Linked DNA regions of Saccharomyces cerevisiae S288C. The gene in region 1 interacts genetically with each later gene. Each region holds a gene or a part of one and is shown on either strand. Other genes may lie near its edges. The genes, in order: SPO24, DIA1, DFP1 and FPR2.

Region 1 (2,786 bases):
GGCTGCTGAGAAGAACGACGCTCGGTTGAAAGAGATCGAGAAGCAAACCATTATGCCATTGATGGGCGATGACAAGGTGAAGAAGGAAGTGGGCAGGGCGTCGTGGAAGTACTTCCATACCCTGCTGGCCCGTTTTCCGGACGAGCCTACTCCTGAAGAAAGAGAGAAACTGCACACGTTTATTGGGTTGTATGCAGAACTCTATCCATGCGGGGAATGTTCATATCACTTTGTAAAGTTGATTGAGAAGTATCCCGTACAGACATCTAGCAGGACGGCTGCCGCAATGTGGGGATGCCACATTCACAACAAGGTGAACGAATACCTAAAGAAAGACATATATGACTGTGCTACCATCCTGGAGGACTACGATTGTGGATGTAGTGACAGCGACGGTAAACGCGTGTCTCTCGAGAAGGAGGCTAAACAGCACGGTTGAACAAAGAAAGATTACATTAATCAATTATAGTAATAGTAAATTTTTTATTATTTTATATTTTAAATTTTTTTACTTTCTCAGTATTTATATTACATAAATATGTATATATCAAAAAGTTTCTGTCGTAGAAGAGACCCGATCCGAGGTTATTGAATGTAAGTGCGGGAAAGTGCAGATAGAATGACAATGAATGCTCCGGAAAAAAAAAAAAAAGTACGTGACTTACTTGCCCAAGTAAGTAAAGATGCCAAGTGTCTTTTATGCTAATAGTGTGCTAATTCTCGTGTACAACACTTACAACAGAGACAAAGAGTTTTTTCTGGAGTGTGAGCGGCTTGAAGCAGAGGCATCCAAAAGAGCGGCATTGGCAATAGCCAGATTCAGGTCATCGACGTTTGCGTCAGAGTTCTTTCTTGAGCTTGGCTGAGAGACTGGCGAAAGAGATGGGATGACAAAAGGTTGAGAAACGTCAGAAGTTAGTTCTAAAAAGGCGACCATTGTTGAAATTTTTGTTTTTTGTGTTATTTGTGTGAGTTGTCAGTAAAGCTGTTTTGTAGTTGCTTGTTTGATGATGATTTTTTATATTTTACAAGGACTAGAGGAAACAATTGTGAGAGTTGAGCTATTGGAGAAATCTAGAGACCTTATATATGTGTCTGTTCTTCATGCTAATTGAGCCCCCTCTAAAGTTCTCTTACGTTATAGAGCGTCATGACAACGATTGATCACGCAGATGACTAACCGCCAGTCACAGCGCATATTAGCGCGCAAATGAAAAGAATGACCGACCCGCCGCGGAATCGATCTCGGATTTGCGCGGGGACAGCCACACCCACCTTCCGCGGACCTGCGGAGGGTGGTTTTCGGCAGGCGGTTCCCGGACACCAGGAAAGGGGCGCCCATTAATACCCGACTTCGGCGGCCACCGAAGGCTCAGGGGCGGGGAGGAGGCGTCATGAAAAAGCATGATTCACTGCATTACCAATCACGCACGCACGCAGTCGGTGCACGCAGCGCAGGCCGGGTGCGTGAATGACTGATTCTGCTACCCTCTTCTGGTTCGTTTCTTTTTCTTCTTTTCTTTTCTATGGATGTTCTTCTCTTAAAATAATAGTACGTACAAAACTACTTATTTAGGCTTCAAACCCACTACTACTTTACGGTCTTCTATATCTTTATTTGAAGGTATATCCAATGATTGCCTGCGTGGCCTTGAGGGCCTCGTATTTCACCCTAGAATCTGAATGGTTCAGCAACTCCATGATGTCGGCTTTGCCGCCAGTCTTGTCGAGAACGTCGATGCTCTCTGGTAGAAGCTCGACCACGTGAGTGATGTCGTTCAAGGCGACTTGGATAATGATCTTTTCTTGTTTCGCGTTGACGTCGCCGTTACGGACCTTTGCTTGCAAGAGTTCGATCAATTGTCTAAAGATCTTGTAGTTGTCCTTCTTGAACTCGTCAATGTTATCGGACCAGAAACCGTTGTCGACATGTGGTGGAGACCAGCACAGCAACTTGGAGTCCAATTCGGCGACGTATTCATCGAAGGAGGTCAATTCTTGGTACTCGTTTTCTAGGATTTCCTTGAGGTTGCTGATGTCTTGACGCAATTCTTCGTCGGAATACTTTCTTTCGCTCAAGCTCTGTACGGTGGGCAACGCGTTGCCGAGCAACAAAAGTTGCTTAATCACCTTCTTGTGCTGCTTGACGCGCGTGGAGCAACATTGCAGGATGATGGATATGCACAATCTGGACACTTTCTCCTTTATGGTTATCTTAACCAATTTCAAGAGGTCCAAGAAATCACTCAAGTATTTCTGGACTAGCTCGTTTGCAAAAACTGGGTTAAAGGTCAGCAACCATATCAATAGTAAAGAGTGGTACTGCAATTGAATACCCAGGTGGTTGGAGTTTGTTGCAACTATCCGCGTGGCCAATTGAGAGTCCGTGGCACGTTGCAGGATCTTGAATAAGGTGGGCATGAACTTCTTCTCATGCAACCATATCACGTCACGATACTCTGGTATCACGGCCAGTTCTTGCAATAGTCTGATGCACACGTAACAAGTGTCCATCTGCTCAATGTTTTGCAAGATATTGATCAAGTTGTTGTTTTTCAACAGCTTTTCCACTAGTTTCACATTGTGCAACCCATTTTGCACTAAGAGTGAGACCACGTTGAACCCAGAGATTAGCACAGTCTGGAAGTCTCCCTTGAGTGACACATCAAATAATTGTTCCAATTGCTTGGGGTCTTCTTGGAAAAACTTCACGGTATCGTCTCCATACTTGTCAGACGATAACAATTCAGCTATTAGGTTCTGCACAGATTTTTTGCAGTCTTCGT
Region 2 (6,144 bases), on another chromosome or scaffold:
GACAGCCGATCCTGAGGAACTTATCTTTGGAGAAGATGAAACGTCAGTAAGCGTGGTAAATGTGGAGGATGTGACTGCAGTTGTATCAGAAGATGAAGCAGTAGTTTCAAGGACAGAGGACTTTCCCAATGGCTCCGAAGAGGAACCACCTCCATTTGATGAACTGGTTTGCGGGGAAGATGTTTGAATAGCACTACTACTTATGGAGTCAGTCTCTGTAGTGGAGCTGGACAGTTGTGCATTTGTGGAGGAAAGCGCACTGTATGAGTTTGAGGGGCCAGAGGTTGATGATTCGACATCGTTGACTGATGTACTAGAAATATCGGATGATGTGTAAGAAAGAGAAGAAAAAATGGAAACCAATGACTCCGATGATAGAATTGAGGCAATTGTATCAGAGGAGAGCGACGAGCTAGAAGTAAACTCGGGTACAACAGAAGAAACTAATGTGCTAGAACTACTGACAATAATTTCTGGGCTAGTTGTAACTTTAGTGCTTGTCGTGCTTGTCGTGCTAGTGGTAGTAGGCGTAGTTGTACTGGTTGTGCTACTAGTAGTAGTCGTGCTACTATGCGATGTGGTAGTGGCTGTGGTCGATTTTGAACCAGATGAACCCATTTTGATACGGCGCTACCCTTTCTTGTGGATACCTTTTCTATGACAGAATCATTGACAAATCTGAGGGAACAAAATTACCACAGGTGTGAGTGAGACTTTATATAAAATTAATATTTCATTTTTAGCTTTGTTCCACTTGAGAGGAACATGGGCAAAGATAGAGACTAAGAAAACATGTTTTCAGAACTTTACTGTTGACTGCTGAACAGTCTTAGCAAGATGCTTATTTTTACGTGAGTTCTAAGTCGCCGTGGACTGACACCTTCGCTAAATTCACAGGCAATGATCGCAAACGAGCTTCATGAAAAAAAGTTTATTTTGGATCAGATCTGCGCATGGTCCAGAAAATTCGCCTTAACGAAAGGTACACAATTTTGCATTAAATGTCAAAAAAAATAGAATATGCGATACAATTATACCTGAGATGAATTTAGTAAAGTAGGTGCAAAAGATGGTATAATACTTGAGCTACATCTGGGAAACTAAAGCACATTTTACGTTCAAAGCGAATAGTAAATTAGAGAGAACAGTTGCGCGTGGAAGGCACGGGCACCGCTAAATCTAAAGAAATTACATACTATTTCATTCTTGCTGTCATTTTTTCCTCATTAATCACCACTTTTAAGCAGGATATAAGAATAAAAAACTCGATTTGAATAAAAACTATGCTTTCCTTGGTACATACGTCCTTTTGAGTACATAAGTAATGTCAACTGTGTAGGAAAGAGGTGACGTCCTAGGCTCGGCTGTGTGATATTACTTTTTAGAACCTTTTTGATAGAGGCTAAATGGTAAGGAAAGTTAATTTTATTCGAATTTTGGGCCACCTCTCTTAGAAAGGATTACTGCTAACTTCATAGTGTCAGATCACTCGTGTTTGTTCTGAATAATGAGGCAGGCGGTATACGAAAGAAGATATCCTGCTTATTTGGCTCCTATTGTTCAATTAATTAATCGATTGGCCAACGACTTTCCTATCGTATAGAAGAAACTGTTTGAAAAAAGATGGCTTATCCAGGAAGGCGCCTGAACAAGTTCTTGCTTCCCACAGTAAAGAAAAATCAAAATGGCCGCCATAGCGGTGCAGGAAGGTCTTGCCTATCGAGGATATTGTTTTTACTCCAAAAGGAAAGAGGAAAGTTAACAAAATCAACTTTTCAAACGGAGAGTATAACACCCGGAAGTTAAAAACTGTGAGGAAGATAAAAAGAAATCTTCACGAAGTTTTTTCCATTTTGGTGATCTAATGAAGTCAGCTATCACTTTTTTGCGCTACGGGCTTTATGTGACGCAATAGCCCGTGCCACTTTAAACTTTTTTGTGCCTTGGCACCTTTGGCAGTATACGAAGAAGATCAATTAAACAAGAACGACGAGATCTCGGACAAGATATGACAGGGTTTAAAGTTTCTTCTTTTTTTTATATTCTGGCATTGTCCCGCTTTTTCAACGCAGGAAGGGAACGAGCTTGTGATAAGTTAAAAATTACAGTTACACATCTATACTGGTTTATTATACGCAAACTTTTGTTACATGAGGTTCATGTTCATGTTAGTCGTGTTTGCAACGTTTCTTTTATTTTGTCTCCTTGCCTCTTTCGCAATTTTTTTACGTTGTCTCTTCATGTACTCTATGTAATGTATGAGCAGGCTCTGACACCCGAGTTCTTCCGTCAATGGTGGGATATTATTCAATCCAAATGATCCTTGATCTGTGGAATACTCGCCAAGAATTAAGTGGCCCTCTTGAGCGACCCACCTAAAAAGAGATGTTTCAAATTCTCTAGTATAATGAGCTGCCACGAACCTCTGAACTTTTTGATCCTTTTGGTCGATGGACATCTTATTTTTAGCGGCTCTAATGACATCTTCATCCAAACGATTCACTTCATAATCTGCTAACAGAATTAATTTATAATGATCGTTGGTAACTACGGGCGAATAAGTGACATGCCACCTGAGATTTAAATTATTCACTTTAGTGTCCAAATCCCTGTGTCCTTCTCGGTGAGCCATTGCTAGTAAGTTGGGCTCCGTAGACGTAGTCCCTACGAAGCTGTAAGTTACGTTTGCTTGGCTGACATTTTTATATATGTCGTAAAGAGGCACTTTATACAATATTAATCCGTTGTTTGAGCAAACGATTTTTGCCACAGTATAAGGCGGAGGTTCGTCTGCCGTTCTTAAAATAAATTTGAAAATTTTATAATATGGGACATTGCCGACCACAGTATTGCTATGACCTCTTTTACCAAACGGTAGAGTGCAATTGATAATTTGGAATAATGGAATACCAATTGCATCTGGACTCAGCTCATTCGAATACTTTTTAGTGTTTTCAAAATTTTCAAGCGATTGCTGAGACGGAAACATGAAAAACCCATCCTCGCCGTTTATCTCGGCTATGGGCATTCTTCTTTCCCTATTAAAATGAAAGCACTCTGGGACACTTTTGCTATCGGACATTTCAATCTTCAATCTCTGCTCATCTTTAAGCCCATCTGCTGCTTTCTTAAGAAGGTATCTACTTATTGAACCCATAATCAGATTTTTCTTGAAAAACTTTTAATGGAAGCTTAGCACCTGCTTCGGTCTTCTTTATCTTGGCGAACTTTGCCAAATCTGTAGTTGTTTCAAATACTGTCATGTTGGCAGTCTTCTTTTTATATGCGTTCACGCCGATGGCCAAGCCTACAACATTTTCTCAAAAAGGGACCATTGTCCCTTGCTGCGCCAAAAAAAAGAAATAGGCGCATACGTTCCGTCATCTATCGCTCACAAAAAGTGGAACCGGTAGGATTTTATCACTGACACATACCGTTGTACTAAGAGAGCAATTAAGTCGACAACGCAATTGATATGCGCTCTTCGTTATCGAACCCTAGCGGTGTATTTTTCGGACAAACTTACTGTTCATTATGGCCGAATGCTTACCTAAAACGACACTTCTGGTCGTTTTCAACTCTCATGCTCTAAGCAATTAGGCTTTTGGGGCGAAGCGGACAAGCTCTTAAGGCCGTGAATAAAGAAAGGGAGATGAAAGGACGCCGTAGCAGCTGCAATAGCTTTCTTTCGGTCATCAAAAATCCCAGTGAATTCTTGGGGGACACTTGTGGGGTTGCATTACTCGAAATGCTTCGGACGAGTACCTGATTCGTTAAACATATATATATCTCATGGTGAATTGGAAACGGTTGTAGATCTTATATAGGAAAAGTCATTCATAACTAGTTCCATGCCGACTAAGTATTTCGTCCAGGCTCGGCGTTCTTGTTGAACGAATTTTCCCATAATCATCCAGATTTCCAAGAACCTCGCCTTCGTAACATTTTGCAACAACAAGTGGATGGAGAATTTTGGCTATTTTTAGTTCAAGAAAACTTAGAAATTTTTCAACGGTTTTTTATCTCGTTAGTATTATCATTCCAAAAGTATACTTATGTGGGTACATAGTTATAAATATATGAGGGAATCTATCTATTAAGGTTAAAAAAGCGTTACATCGTAAAACGGTAATCATGGCTGCTCAATTTTAACGTAGTCACCATTCTTGGCAGAAGATTTTAAAAACGCGTCCACACAAGCCAAATGGTGAAATGCAGTTCTGGGTGTGCCTAGGTATAAGGATTTGTCCTTCTTGCTGACAGCTTCGTGAAAATTCAAAAATTCAGCGTTGACGCCGAAACTTTCATCATTATCGACTTTAAAAATTTGTTCGTCACCGTTATCTTCAGCTGAACCCCCTAATTTGACTTTTACAACGGGGTCTTTTTTGTCTGATAAGTCAACGGTAACGGTACCATTCTTACCATAGACTTTCAAGAAAACCGACTTTTCGGTAGCACCAAAGGCAGACCCATAAGTAAAACTTCCGATAACCTCTTTATTTTTCAACTGGACAGTAGCAAAGACAATATCATCTGCACCGGAACGTTCACGCACCTGTCTCGTTAATGCAGAAACAGATCCAAATTCACCGAGTAGGGAAATAACGAGAGCTAATTGGTGGACACCACCATCAGATAGAAATCCGCCAATGTGCTCTGGTTTTTGTCTCCAGGTTGTGGTCAAATATTTATTTTGAGTAACAAATGGACCGGTAGAATTGTGGGTGAATGCTACTACAGGACCAATTTTCTCGATCTGCTCCTTTGCGATTTTAATACATGGTAAATATAACCAATTTTCAGCCACACCAACGGGCAATGGGGTGGATTCTGCTATCTTGACAATCTCCTTTGCTTGGTCTAAGTTGGCCGCAATTGGTTTTTCCAAAATAACTGGCTTACCTGCTTTAACTGCCTTCTCGACAATATCAGCATTAAATTGAGCAGGTAGCAAAGCGTCAATGTAGTCGACATGAGGGTCATTCAAAATTTCATCTAGATTGTCGTAAACCTTATTTTCAGGTATGTCAGCAACCTTTGCAAAATCCAAAGCTTTTGCCTTATGTCTGTTGAAGGCGGCAATGACTTTGAATTTGTCAGGAAATTCCTGGTAGGATGGGAGATGTCTATCTCTGGCAAAAATACCTGTACCAACTATACCGACGTTCAATGGGGACATTTTTGGCTATTACTTTACTTTTTGGAACCAAGAAGTGATTATGGGTCTATTCGATGTACAGAAACAAATAGGTTTGAGCGAGTTCGAAAGTTTATCCAGAATAAGTAGTTCTTTTTATAGACGAACACCTATGTATTGTGATACATAATCATGCTGAATTTTCAACAGGGGATAACTCCGTTTATTCCCCGGCGGAGGGCGGAATTAAGCGGGGTTATTAGTTGATTTGGAAGCCACGTCTTTTTTAATTTTGAATGAGAAGTGAGACTACGTACTAAGTTAATCTATTATTATCTTTATATGTAAAAAAACCCCGACCGTGGTGAAAGGCTTCTTTGGTCTTGCTTTGACAATTGCTTAGTGGAAACGATACTTTGTGTCCAGACCTAGATGTATTTAGCAACAGCTTCTCCATCGTAAATTGTAAAAGGCGTATCCTTACCCACGATGGCGATTGAAAGATTGTCTACAGTCAAGGATTCGTCCCTTAGAGACTGGCTGATAGCCTCGACGCCAGCTTTGATTAGTTCATCCGGGTTCCCGTCAATTTTTATAAACGTGTCTAAAGTTCTCTCTAGATAAGTCTTTGCCCCTTGGCTTCTTGCGCCAATAGCTGTACCATATAGTTCTGTGACATTTCCGGAAGGTTGGAATTCTAAAAGATGAGCACCGCTCTTGTCATACCCGATGATCAACAAACCAACACCGTAGGGTCTGCCCCCATAGGATTGTGTATTTTTCTGTGCTTTATCGCAAAGCAAATGACCTGCTCTCTCGACGGCAAGCTTTCTGTTAAAAACTAAGCTGGAGTAATTACACTGTTGTCTCAAATAATTACTTAAAACTCTAGCATCTGGAGCCAACCCGGCTAACGAGAGCCCCATGTGCTCGTCACATTTGATGATTTTTTTCTGGTATGATGACAATTCGTCTGCATTTCTTTTCAACGCTACTAAAACAGC
Region 3 (5,462 bases), on another chromosome or scaffold:
ACCCTTGGCACTAAACGGTTAGTAGGAGGGAAATCGGACTTTTCCCAAATTAGAAACAATGAAAAATTAAGTGTGAGCTCTTAGAGTCGCATCTGCAGGAATATGCACACAAAAAGGGGAGCTGTACGTAAATAATCAGACCACACAAACTATTGCCAACCATTTGATACTCACGCTAGATATGATGGGGGTTCTTGTTTGGACAACACAAGTCTCAGAGCCAGCGTAGATATGCTTGTACATAAATGACGACTGGGGCATCAATTGAATCGGGTTACATTGTGCGAGCTATTACATGAAGAGAATATGCCTTTAGGGTAATTTCCAAATGTAGGAAGTCTCGCTAAGTAGGGCGCCCAAATCTGTATAGCGATGTTGTTGAGGCCATATAGTAAAATGACGTGCCAATTACCGAGCTTTTGATGGAGGTAAAATCTAAGATTAATCTTGCGCCTTGAAACCACTAGAAATGAAAGGAATTGGTGAAAAAATAATCGCGCAATAGATGACATGGAACGACAGAAGTCTTGTATTGTGCACGAATCCGCAATATTCAAAGCCGAAGTTCATATACGAATGCGAACTATTTCTTAGGGTAGCTCTCTGTATGGGCCGCCATAAATTAGTACCAAAAGATAGGTTTTTGAAAAGGCTACAATGTGCTTTTTTCCTTCTTGCTTTCGAGTCCGGTGAACAGAATATTACGACGTCCTTGTATTAAGAGCCAGACCTCCTGTTAGCGTCACTATAAGAGTAAGTCTGAAATACGCAACAACTACAGTGCAATGAAAAAGTGCTCAACTCAATGACAATAAACAATTTAACCATGGCAGGTTAAAATATTACTGCGATCAGTAAAAATGGGGATATCACCTTTTGACACATAACATAGCAATAAAGTAACAGATCATTAGTGATCGGACAACCTGAACCAACGATATAATGTCGAAGCCACCACTACCTTTAAGATTAGTAGCGCTGCAGGGGGAGACAATGAGAGAAATTTCCCGCCACATGAACTGAGTCAGGAGTTTTTTTTTTCTTGCTGGAGAATCATTTAATTTCATGGTTAAACTCCTCTATAAGCATCCCATTCTCCCATGCCTGAAAACACTTTTGTCCATTCGATCCTCATGCAGCCCTCGTTAATATGCTAAAATGGCTCATTAAATTGTAGATTGTATCGTTCGAGAAACGTCAGGCATGATAGATGTTGCAATCACAGGACATTGATTATTTAATCCTGCTCTCAACATGTTCAATAAGTTGAAGAGTTGCTGATCTCCCCGTATATCTTATGAACCAAAGCATGGTGGGTGAATGTTATGGTTATCCTTGTTGAAAAATGATTGATAGACTGGATTGAGCGGAAAAACATGGGTCAATATGCTGATCTTGACATTTTTCAAAATCCACGGGGGATCAAATCAACTTCTTATAGCGTATGACCTCTTTTACATTGTTTAATGATGTTAAGATTGCGATATTATAGTCAGTTAAGTTACTCAAACGCACAGATTTAATAGAAAACTGCGTCTTCGTTGCCTAGTCGATCATAATAAATTCGCAGATTATTTCGAATTTGATCTCCTTCGAAATCAAGTTTATTCTCTTCACAACAAAAAATGCTTTTAACTTGAACAAAACTCGTAAACTATTTCCCCACTGTTGCTTCGGGACGACCCAGTTATTCAATATCTTGCAATGCTAATTTTTTTTGGGAGAGCAGTTGCAAATATTGCAAACACATCTAAAGCGTACCCACAATTTATGACTTCCTGGAGCCCAGAACAGCCCAAAAAAAAAAAGATGCGTTCTTTTTATACCAATATATTAGATACGTAAACTCTACTCATATTGCAGGTATGCCCACATCTGGATATTGACTTTGCCAATATTCCCGCACAGCATGGGCTTGAATTTCGGCTGCTTTAAAGAGGCACCACTTTACGGTTGGTTCAACATCAGAATTTTGAGTTGCAGCCTGATTTTCTGGAACACTGATGAACGGCTGTGTATTCGCTGTATCCCACTGTACATCAGGATATTTTCCCTTTATGAGATCCTTGAAAAATTCATAGCACTGGTGTTCACAAAAAAAGTGGTATGGTGTTTTCCATAAGCCAGCCTTGAACAAATATTGATTCATGTTATACGTTATGGTTTTCCATTCTTTCCCAGCTATCGATGGTCTATGAGTTATTACCTCTAGTAGAAGTTTTGTACGGAATGTTTCATTACTTATTGGTCTACTGAATGACCATATCTGAAGGACTACCATAGAGCCACCTAAACATATCCGGATCACCATGGCAGGGGAGAGAACACCAGAAAACCAAATGTTTGTTAAAGTCGCCAAAATCGTCAAGACAAAAAGGAGGAAATTGATCATTATATACTTGGCGCGTACAATTTCGTAAAGCAAATAACTCTGGTATGATGCAAACTCATCCTCTGGAAGGACGATATCAGCTGAGATTAAAGGACTTTCAGGGTTGTCAGGAGATCCTTCCCTCAATGGGATTGCTTTAGGATCGTCCGTGACATGAGTGTTTTTTTTAAATAAGATTGCATGTTTAACAAACGATTTAACTTGCTTTTGCTTACAAGTCAAGTAAACCTTATCCTGATAGCTTAGGAAAAATAGACTTGAATGTGTCGAACATTTCAAACCTCAATTGGTATTTTCCTTTTTTTCAACTGTACGTACATAGCTTTTCGCTTTCTTTAGCGCCCCCAGATGAAAGTATATATCGTAACAAGGATGGGAACATGAAAGGTACTGAAAAAACATCTGTATTTATTAAAAGTAAATCAAAAGCAGACTGGGAAGTTCTGTCGTAGGGATTTTTTTTTTAATGTTATGTGTGTAGGATTATTCTATTTCCTTGAATTTCTCGATCGAGATTTTTCGTACCTGTGTATTTTTGGATATAAGAGTGTTTCTGATCTATTGAGTGAGCAGGTCTCCAGCGGAATATAGAGTAGATTGAATATGGAAGAGGACTACATTAAGGCTTATTGTTAGTTAGTTACTGTTAGGACGCTTCGGCGAGCTGATGTCTGACTTCTCGTTGTATCAAAGAGCTCCCAATACGCCAGCGCATTTAAACTATGATCACGGAATGCTGGATTAGTAGTATAGCAAAAGTAACACTTGTCCACCGCAGACTCCATCACTTAGTCAACACCTTGGGTGTTTTACCGCTGATAATGGCCGTAAAATCGCCAGATATATATCATCATTGTTCTTCGCGAATAATACGTAACACAGTCTCTTTTCGAAATTTAGATGAGGACCATAGGCATGACTTATTTACTGAGATGTCCCTGCGTTAAAACTTTTACTGGCCGATTGCTAACTTTATATTTGTTAATAAAACTATTCACGCCTGTGTCCTAATTGTTGGATAATACCTAAACAATAACGATGTTGTATAGCTAAGAGGACGACCAGACAAAAAGTTATAAACTTTACCCTCGTTGAAAATGGGGCAGCCACCTATGAATCACTTCCCATTACAATGCCGAATAGCAAAATATGTAGTAGAACACGTACACGCATGATAATTACTTCCATGCTGTACTTATTTTTTGGGTGTCTCTTCAGAAAGAATGCTTTATATAACCATGTGTTTGAATTAGCGATCAGCTAATAACAAGTCAGTGTCCAAATAGTTAAAACATTGTGACCCAAATATCACAAATAAGTGGTTGTTTGGCCGAGCGGTCTAAGGCGCCTGATTCAAGAAATATCTTGACCGCAGTGAACTGTGGGAATACTCAGGTATCGTAAGATGCAAGAGTTCGAATCTCTTAGCAACCATTATTTTTTCTTTTTCCTCCTATACTTCATAATCTACGTAGGAATGAAAGTACCAACATTATACCAATGAGGGTGTGTTTCGTGGATGCATATACTCTGAAGATAAAAACAAACTCAAGTCCGCTTCCTACGGTTTGAGTATTTCTTACCACTACATAATAAAGAATATTACGTTAACTGTAAAATCAAGTAGACTTGGAAAATACAACGAGAACACTTTCCTGATTCTGCATCAGCGTTTTCTTATCACCAGCTGTACTTCTACATTAGCTAACTCTCCTTTCTATAAAGGGCGTCTTTCACTTCACTTGTGCCATGTTACAAAGCTCCAAACGCACTTCTAACTGAGTACAATGCACGATCCCACTGACAGACAAAACAGCTTCACAGAATTTGATCATGCCATCGTAAAAACCACGTAGTAAGGAATAAAAAATCCCGAAGTCGATCATACTATGTAGAGATGTACATGAATAGTCTAGGAATCTGGTCTTCCAGCATGTTGCTTTGGTCTGCTTCAAGCGCTATGGAAGCGCTCGCCATGAGATATGCTGTTTCAAGGCAAAATAGCAAAGCTCTTTGTAAAGAAATACAATTCAGAGAAGAAGCTACAGCATTTTGTTTCTGGATGATCCCTGCAGGTTCATACTACTAAGTAAATCTTGAACAGTTCAAATTTCAACAATTCAGAAACCGCTCTTTTTATATATACTCTACCAAACGAGATGAAACAGCATTTTTTTACTCTTATAAGGTACCAATATTTTGACGTATGCTTTCTTTAACGTTCACGATCGGGCTGGGCCATTAAACTTACCTTAGATATTATTTGGAACAGCACCGCAAGTGCTGATGTCCCAGAAATGGGCGCCGGTTCAATTAGGTCGTGAAGTCAGACATATGGAGACTCTCGGACTGAAAGCACTAAGGGATGATAGCTGGCATGCCAATTCCATTTTAAATTTACACATCAAGTTACAGGGTTTGGGAAAATCACGTTCAAAGCCTGAAAATTTGAGGTTGTTCACGGAAATCATTTGGTTATGTCTGTCGGCCTGCTATTTAGAGACATTTTTTATTGCAACAACCTACTCTATGCACTTACACGGAATCGCAGAATAACGCGCGCACAACACAATTGGGAAACGATAGGATTTTGAATAGTGTATTGCTTTGTACCGATTTAAATAATTCTTTCTCGTGTTGAATCCGAGTTGAAGATGAGTATGCTTTGAAGAGGTGAAATATCATCAGTAAAAAAAAATAACGACAACTGCAGGACTCGAACCTGCGCGGGCAAAGCCCAAAAGATTTCTAATCTTTCGCCTTAACCACTCGGCCAAGTTGCCAAAATTGTATGTTATTTGTTGTATCTCAAAATGAGATATGTCAGTATGACAATACGTCACCCTGAACGTTCATAAAACACATATGAAACAACCTTATAACAAAACGAACAACATGAGACAAAACCCGACCTTCCCTAGCTGAACTACCCAAAGTATAAATGCCTGAACAATTAGTTTAGATCCGAGATTCCGCGCTTCCACCACTTAGTATGATTCATATTTTATATAATATATAAGATAAGTAACATTCCGTGAATTAATCTGATAAACTGTTTTGACAACTGGTT
Region 4 (5,704 bases), on another chromosome or scaffold:
AGTCGTCTAACTTCGGGCTCAGAGACGATAAGGAAAACAGGGGAATATAGAAAAGAAAATCTTTTCTTAAATGGATTTAAGTTGAAGGAATCTCCTTTAAAATTGCTACATGATATTGATGAGAGGCTATTTCCATCGAAGGCTACATCTAAAGCTGCGAAGCTAGCTGGACAGCAAAGGCCATATGCTGTTGCAAGAGTGAACTTTCTCCATTTTTATGAGAATAATCAGGAATTATGCCATAAGCTTGCAAAAGAATTTCTGGTGAGATCCCATTTCTGGATAATTCCAGGTGGGAGAAAAGAGATAGACGTGGAATATGCCCACTCACACCTATTTATTACAAGTGTTTTTACTATTATCGCTATGAGTTTTGCTGACAACGATAAATACGCTGCAGAACAAGAAATATTGTATCCTTTAGTGGAGAGATTACTCACTAATACGTTAACCATGTTTGAAAAGTTAACAGCGTTTGATATTGAGGCTATTTTATATTGCTGTATGTTCCATATTTCGCGAAAGGCAAAGAGATATAGGCAACTGAAGTTTAATTCTCTGGTACTAAGCAATTTTGCGCTCAATAGCTTGTTACATGTAATAGATTTTTATCAGATAAAGGATAGGGTTTTGGTAAAAGAAGTGTATAATCCCGAAGATCTTTATCATCTAAGAATACTAAATTCACTAACTGCCTGCTATTTAGAATATTCCATTAGTTACGGCGATATTAGGGAACAGGATGATATGCTTAAAGAGTTTAATAAACTTGTGGCGAAATTTCCTCAGGCGAATTTTGGTGATGACATTAAAATCAGTGAGATAAATTTAGGTGACATCGTAAATGGCATCTTTATAAACCTTAAAAATTATTTTGCGCAGTGTTTGGATGACTTTAACAATGACAGATATGGAGGTAACGCAGATACTTTTATCTTTGTTTTTCCAGAGCTAAATTATTGGCTGAAAAATTGGGAAGAGCTTTTAGCAAAGGATGGCGCGGGCGTGCTATTGTTCACATTTGATTTTTATCATATCATGATATGTCGCACTTTTATCACAGAATTTTCTTCCACGCTAAAAAGCAACCAAAGGTTTTTGAAACTAATTCTTAATACGATGAAAGAACATTCATTTTCGCTGTTGAATGGGTTTTTGAGACTACCGCCAACGTTAATAAGGGGTGCTCCGATTTTTACTTGTCATCAACTAGTCTACGCCTGTTTAACTCTTTGTGACTATCTTTATTGGTTCGATTCTTCTGAACGTCAACGCGTTTTGAGTCTTTGTACAAAAGTGTACTGGCATTTGAGCACTATAGGGGAAAAAATGAATGAGGCTACTGATAACGTTGGAAAAATCATAAAATCTATAATTGATACTAGTAAGACTCGTATTAATTTTGGCAGTTTGTCAAAAGAGAATAGTGATAATGATAAAATGTCGACTAATGCTAATAACTACACAGGAGCAGGAAATCTGCACGCCGCGAAACCCGCTACTTCGCCTACTAATGTTGGTACTTTGCACGAGAACTTGTCCAGTAGTCACTTCATGATTCCTGACGTCGACCAATTCAATTCCTTTGAAGACTTTTTTCAGGATTTTTTTGATAGTTTAAAACCAAATTCCCAAAAAATGTTTACCAGCGATAAGAAGACTGAACAAACTACTTAAACTATTTTTATTAAGAGGGAAAAAATTCATACCCAAACTAGATTGAATAACATTTCTTTATATTAATATATTGTAGTTAGAGCCCTTTTATTTTATTTTGCTGCAAACATAATATACACAACCATAATTACATTGAAACTTGACATGATGGCTGGCATCCTCATATGGATATATTTTCAACTATAAAAAAAAGTTTGCCACATACGTACTCCATGCATCTTGTTGCAGATATGTGCCTGAGTGCCAATTTACCTAGGCGGCTGATTTCACGTCTACCAATTCGACATCAAACACCAAATCAGCACTTGGAGGAATGACGCCTGGGACACCTCTTTCTCCGTAGGCCAAAGAACTTGGAATTTGCAGCTTTCTTTTTTCGCCAACGCACATGCCGGCAACACCTTGATCCCAACCTTTAATTACTCTGCCAACGCCAAGTTCAAAAGCGATAGGAGAGCCTCTTGAATAACTTGAGTCAAATACAGTTCCCGATTCTAATAAAGATCCTGTATAATGAACCTTAACTTTATCACCTGGCATTGCCTTAATTAAGCAATCTTCTACCGGTATTCTCTTGATAATACCGATTTCCAAATCTGACAGGGAACCTGCAAGAATGGTGGAAAAAAAAGTGACGAAAAGGTAAATATTAAACATCATCGAGACTCAATTACTGTAAACTAGAATGTGATTGAAAACGAAAGCACTCCTTTTTCTCTTCTTAGGGTTATAGTAATGGGTCTCATATAAACCTGTATTTGAAGATGCGCTGGCAGTAATGCTAAATCTCTTCAAGAGCATAAACGGGTAACTGGTGAGAATAATCGTGATGCCATAAATAACGAATATTAGCTATTTTCTTCCAGAAACGATGCGAGTAATCAGATGTTAAAAATGTGCATTATATATGCTTTATTTATTGATTATAATTCATCATGTACGGTATCTTCAGTAGACACTTCAGAATCCTTGGCCTGGTGCAATTTATCATAAATTGCCTGGCCGTCAATGTGATGTGTACCTGATTCCTTGATAAATTCGAAAACATCTTCCAAATTTCTAATTTTATTGAAGATAATAGGCTTAGAGTTATTTCCGGCAGGATACAAAGCAATGGTTGGATATCCTGTCACAGGAAAACTTAAGATATCATTTGCCCCTGAATCTACTTCGGCGATCAAGATTTTATCGCGAACAGATTCATCAGATGCTAAGACATTTGCAATTTCTTCGTAAATAGGCGCAAACCTTTTACTATGAATACACCATGTCGCGTAATATTTGACAAGGACATCCTTGTCATCATCATGAACAATGTCGTCATGTGTCTTCCCAACTATTTTATAAACATTGGACTTTTGTTCTTTTGGAATCTCTTCTGACTTAACAATTGGCTTGGCAGTACCTTCACGGTAATCTTTTACCAACTGAACGATCATATCTCTGTCTAGTGGTTGTGGTTTTTCTAATTTCGCGTACTCTTCTTCTGGTAGTTGTGGTAAACCATATTTCAGATTATTGATCATATTATGGATAGCAAATAATGGGAACTGTTCTCTCATATTTAGGAATCTAACGTGGTGTGGGAACATTGTAGAGTTTAATGCAATGAAATTTATTTGGCCACGATTTTCCTTACCTAACTGCGTGAAAAGATCAGTGTAATCTTCCAATTCTTCCTCAGAAGTATAAAAGAAGTAAGCCAACGGCAAATTGCTAGAAATGTACTTGGGGAAGAGATCAGGTTCGATGTCGGTAAAGTAAGGTAAAATTACCACTTTTAACCACTGAGTTAGAGCAACGGAATTTCCGACCAAAGAGTCTACATTTCCATCAAACAGAATTGGTTCTGTAGTGTTTGGCAAGTGGATTGATAATGACTTATCTTCTGAATCTAGAAGGGATAAAAAGACGTAATCCTCAGCAAGGTCCAGTGCGACTTCTTGATACGTTTCATTCAAGCCTGTCAAGCCTCTGTTTATTACTACTGGTAAAGTTGCATTTTCCAAGTATGGTTGGATTTCATCTTCGGAATTTAAATAAATGACAGAAGCCTCGTATAGCTGAATCATGTACTGAGTGATTTCATCGGTGATCTTGACACCGCGATAGACTTGACCATCAAAAATACGACCATTTTTAAAGATTTTCAAGGTTGGGTAGGTATTTATAGTTTGTTGCAGGCAAACCATACTGTTAGCCTCACAATCAATTTGAACAACTGGGACGTTATGCTCCTTTAAAATAGAGGCGGCCTCTTCTAAGTGAGGGCGTAAGATCTGAGAATGCAAACACCATGGAGCAAAAAACTCGACGAGGACTAACGGATGAGATTCGATGAATGATTTAAATTTCTTCTCTGTTAGAACGAGTAAATCTGATCCCGGCGTAGCTCTTGCGCTGTTTTCAGCCAACGTGAAAGAAGCAAACAGGCAAAACGAGACTATCGCAGATATAAATCTTGTGGTCACTTGCATGGTATTATATGAGCGGGTGCTTGTTGGGAGATTGCCATATAATTGAAACGTCAAGTCTTGGAAATTGAAACTTTCTGAATGCTAAAATATCTATTGTCTTAACAAAAAAGGACACGCGTGCCTTTGAAAAAAAGTCTCGGTACTTTTCGTACATTGCCAACTATCGTTTACGTGTTTTGAAGGGAAAGCAAGCTTATATATATATATTTAATTTTGCTATGAAACAAAACCAAAAGACTAACCAGGAAAGTTAATCAGAGGATGACTGTTTTTGTGGTGGTGGGGCGAGGATGTCAGATTCTGCTGACTTCGCAGCGGTAGATGACTTATCTCTGCCTTCATTAAAATAGTCATCCATTGCCAATGGCTGGGTACCCTTTTTATTTTTTGATTTCTTCTTTGTTGGCACCGGTGGTGCTGTGAATGCTGATGGCACAAAAGCCGTCTCAGATTCTACTGGAACAGGAACAGGAACAGGGTTGTCATCTTGCCCCTGCTGCTGTGCTTGTTGTGGACAGTGCTTTACTGTTGGAATCCTGTGAAGAAACCCGTATCCAACGTTGCAACCCAACCTGCCGTCGGGACCTATATGAACTGTGATTGGTCTCACACAGTCAGAAACTTTGTTGTAGACATAAAGGACCAGATCGTAGTTTGCTCTTGATCTAACAATATCTTGTAAAAGCGTCTCCCCTCCCGTGGCCAACAGGCCATCTTGGCAGCCGATAATGTAGTCTTCATCTGGGATGAGCCCTGCCGATTGGGCGGGTCCATCTGGGATGTTCACGTTCAGGATATGGTATGTGAAAGTGGAAGCTATCAAAGGCGTCCATTGGACTTTGAACCCGAGTGCTTGGAACTGGTGCGCTTCCCCACTAGATGGCCTCCTCTCGTCATGGTTTAGAGAAACATCGTCCAAATCGTCGCTCTCCTTCGATATAATGCTGATATACTCGTCTCTGAACGTGCCTCCTTTAGCTGACCATATGTTGACCTTCAAAGTTCGGCCACAGTGTTCATTGAAGATGGATGTGATACGACGGTAATCTGGGTACGAAAATCCGTGTTGATTACTGACCACCGGCACCGGATCATCATTGAAACCTACTATATAGTCGAAAAAGGACTGCAGTTGGAACTGCATCTCGTCCACCCAAACAATGCGGAGACCGGAAAGCGTTTCATTGACGTTGGTGTGCTTAACACCTTCAGAAACCGCATCTACGGGTGATTCCAACTGAGCAGACAACAAATTTGGTGGTATAGACTGAAAGAAAGCGTCCAGATTGCTCGAGTCCTGCGAGAGTGCCAGGGTATCTTGCACGCTCTGCTCAAAAGTCCGTACGAGGTTTTTAGCTATTCTAAACATAGTTCTTCTTCCTATACCTTTTTACTTCCCTAGTTTCGCACGCTGTGTCGGTCGCAGTTACAGTAGTAGTCTCAGCACCCCTGTTCTTGGTCCTGATCCCGTTGCGACAAGCCCATTTCTTTTATGATAGCCAAAATGCAACTAAACCTCGTCGTCGTCGGCTTGCGTGTCCGCCGCGAAG

What was found.
Region 2: mutations in SPO24 (region 1) and DIA1 together harm fitness less than expected from each alone (positive genetic interaction), as found in Saccharomyces cerevisiae (one large-scale study listed by BioGRID).
Region 3: mutations in SPO24 (region 1) and DFP1 together harm fitness more than expected from each alone (negative genetic interaction), as found in Saccharomyces cerevisiae (one large-scale study listed by BioGRID).
Region 4: mutations in SPO24 (region 1) and FPR2 together harm fitness more than expected from each alone (negative genetic interaction), as found in Saccharomyces cerevisiae (one large-scale study listed by BioGRID).

Annotation. Positions count from the first base shown.
Region 1 is NC_001148.4:644,101-646,886, reverse strand, and holds SPO24 (Spo24p), read right to left. Parts: upstream 938-2,786; coding exon 734-937; downstream 1-733. Other genes in the region: IRC16 (Irc16p), read right to left, coding at 1-51; ERV2 (flavin-linked sulfhydryl oxidase), read left to right, coding at 1-439; VMA13 (H(+)-transporting V1 sector ATPase subunit H), read right to left, coding at 1,615-2,786. UniProt on the Saccharomyces cerevisiae protein: Required for efficient sporulation.
Region 2 is NC_001145.3:901,838-907,981, reverse strand, and holds DIA1 (Dia1p), read right to left. Parts: upstream 3,158-6,144; coding exon 2,147-3,157; downstream 1-2,146. Other genes in the region: YMR317W (uncharacterized protein), read right to left, coding at 1-618; YMR316C-A (uncharacterized protein), read left to right, coding at 2,009-2,320; YMR315W-A (uncharacterized protein), read right to left, coding at 3,589-3,696; YMR315W (uncharacterized protein), read right to left, coding at 4,133-5,182; PRE5 (proteasome core particle subunit alpha 6), read right to left, coding at 5,569-6,144. UniProt on the Saccharomyces cerevisiae protein: Involved in regulation of invasive growth.
Region 3 is NC_001133.9:177,429-182,890, forward strand, and holds DFP1 (DUP240 family protein), read right to left. Parts: upstream 2,393-5,462; coding exon 1,853-2,392; downstream 1-1,852.
Region 4 is NC_001136.10:1,477,058-1,482,761, reverse strand, and holds FPR2 (peptidylprolyl isomerase family protein FPR2), read right to left. Parts: upstream 2,338-5,704; coding exon 1,930-2,337; downstream 1-1,929. Other genes in the region: URC2 (Urc2p), read left to right, coding at 1-1,677; protein disulfide isomerase EUG1, read right to left, coding at 2,601-4,154; GRH1 (Grh1p), read right to left, coding at 4,405-5,523. UniProt on the Saccharomyces cerevisiae protein: PPIases accelerate the folding of proteins. It catalyzes the cis-trans isomerization of proline imidic peptide bonds in oligopeptides. FKBP-13 may play a role in protein trafficking in the ER.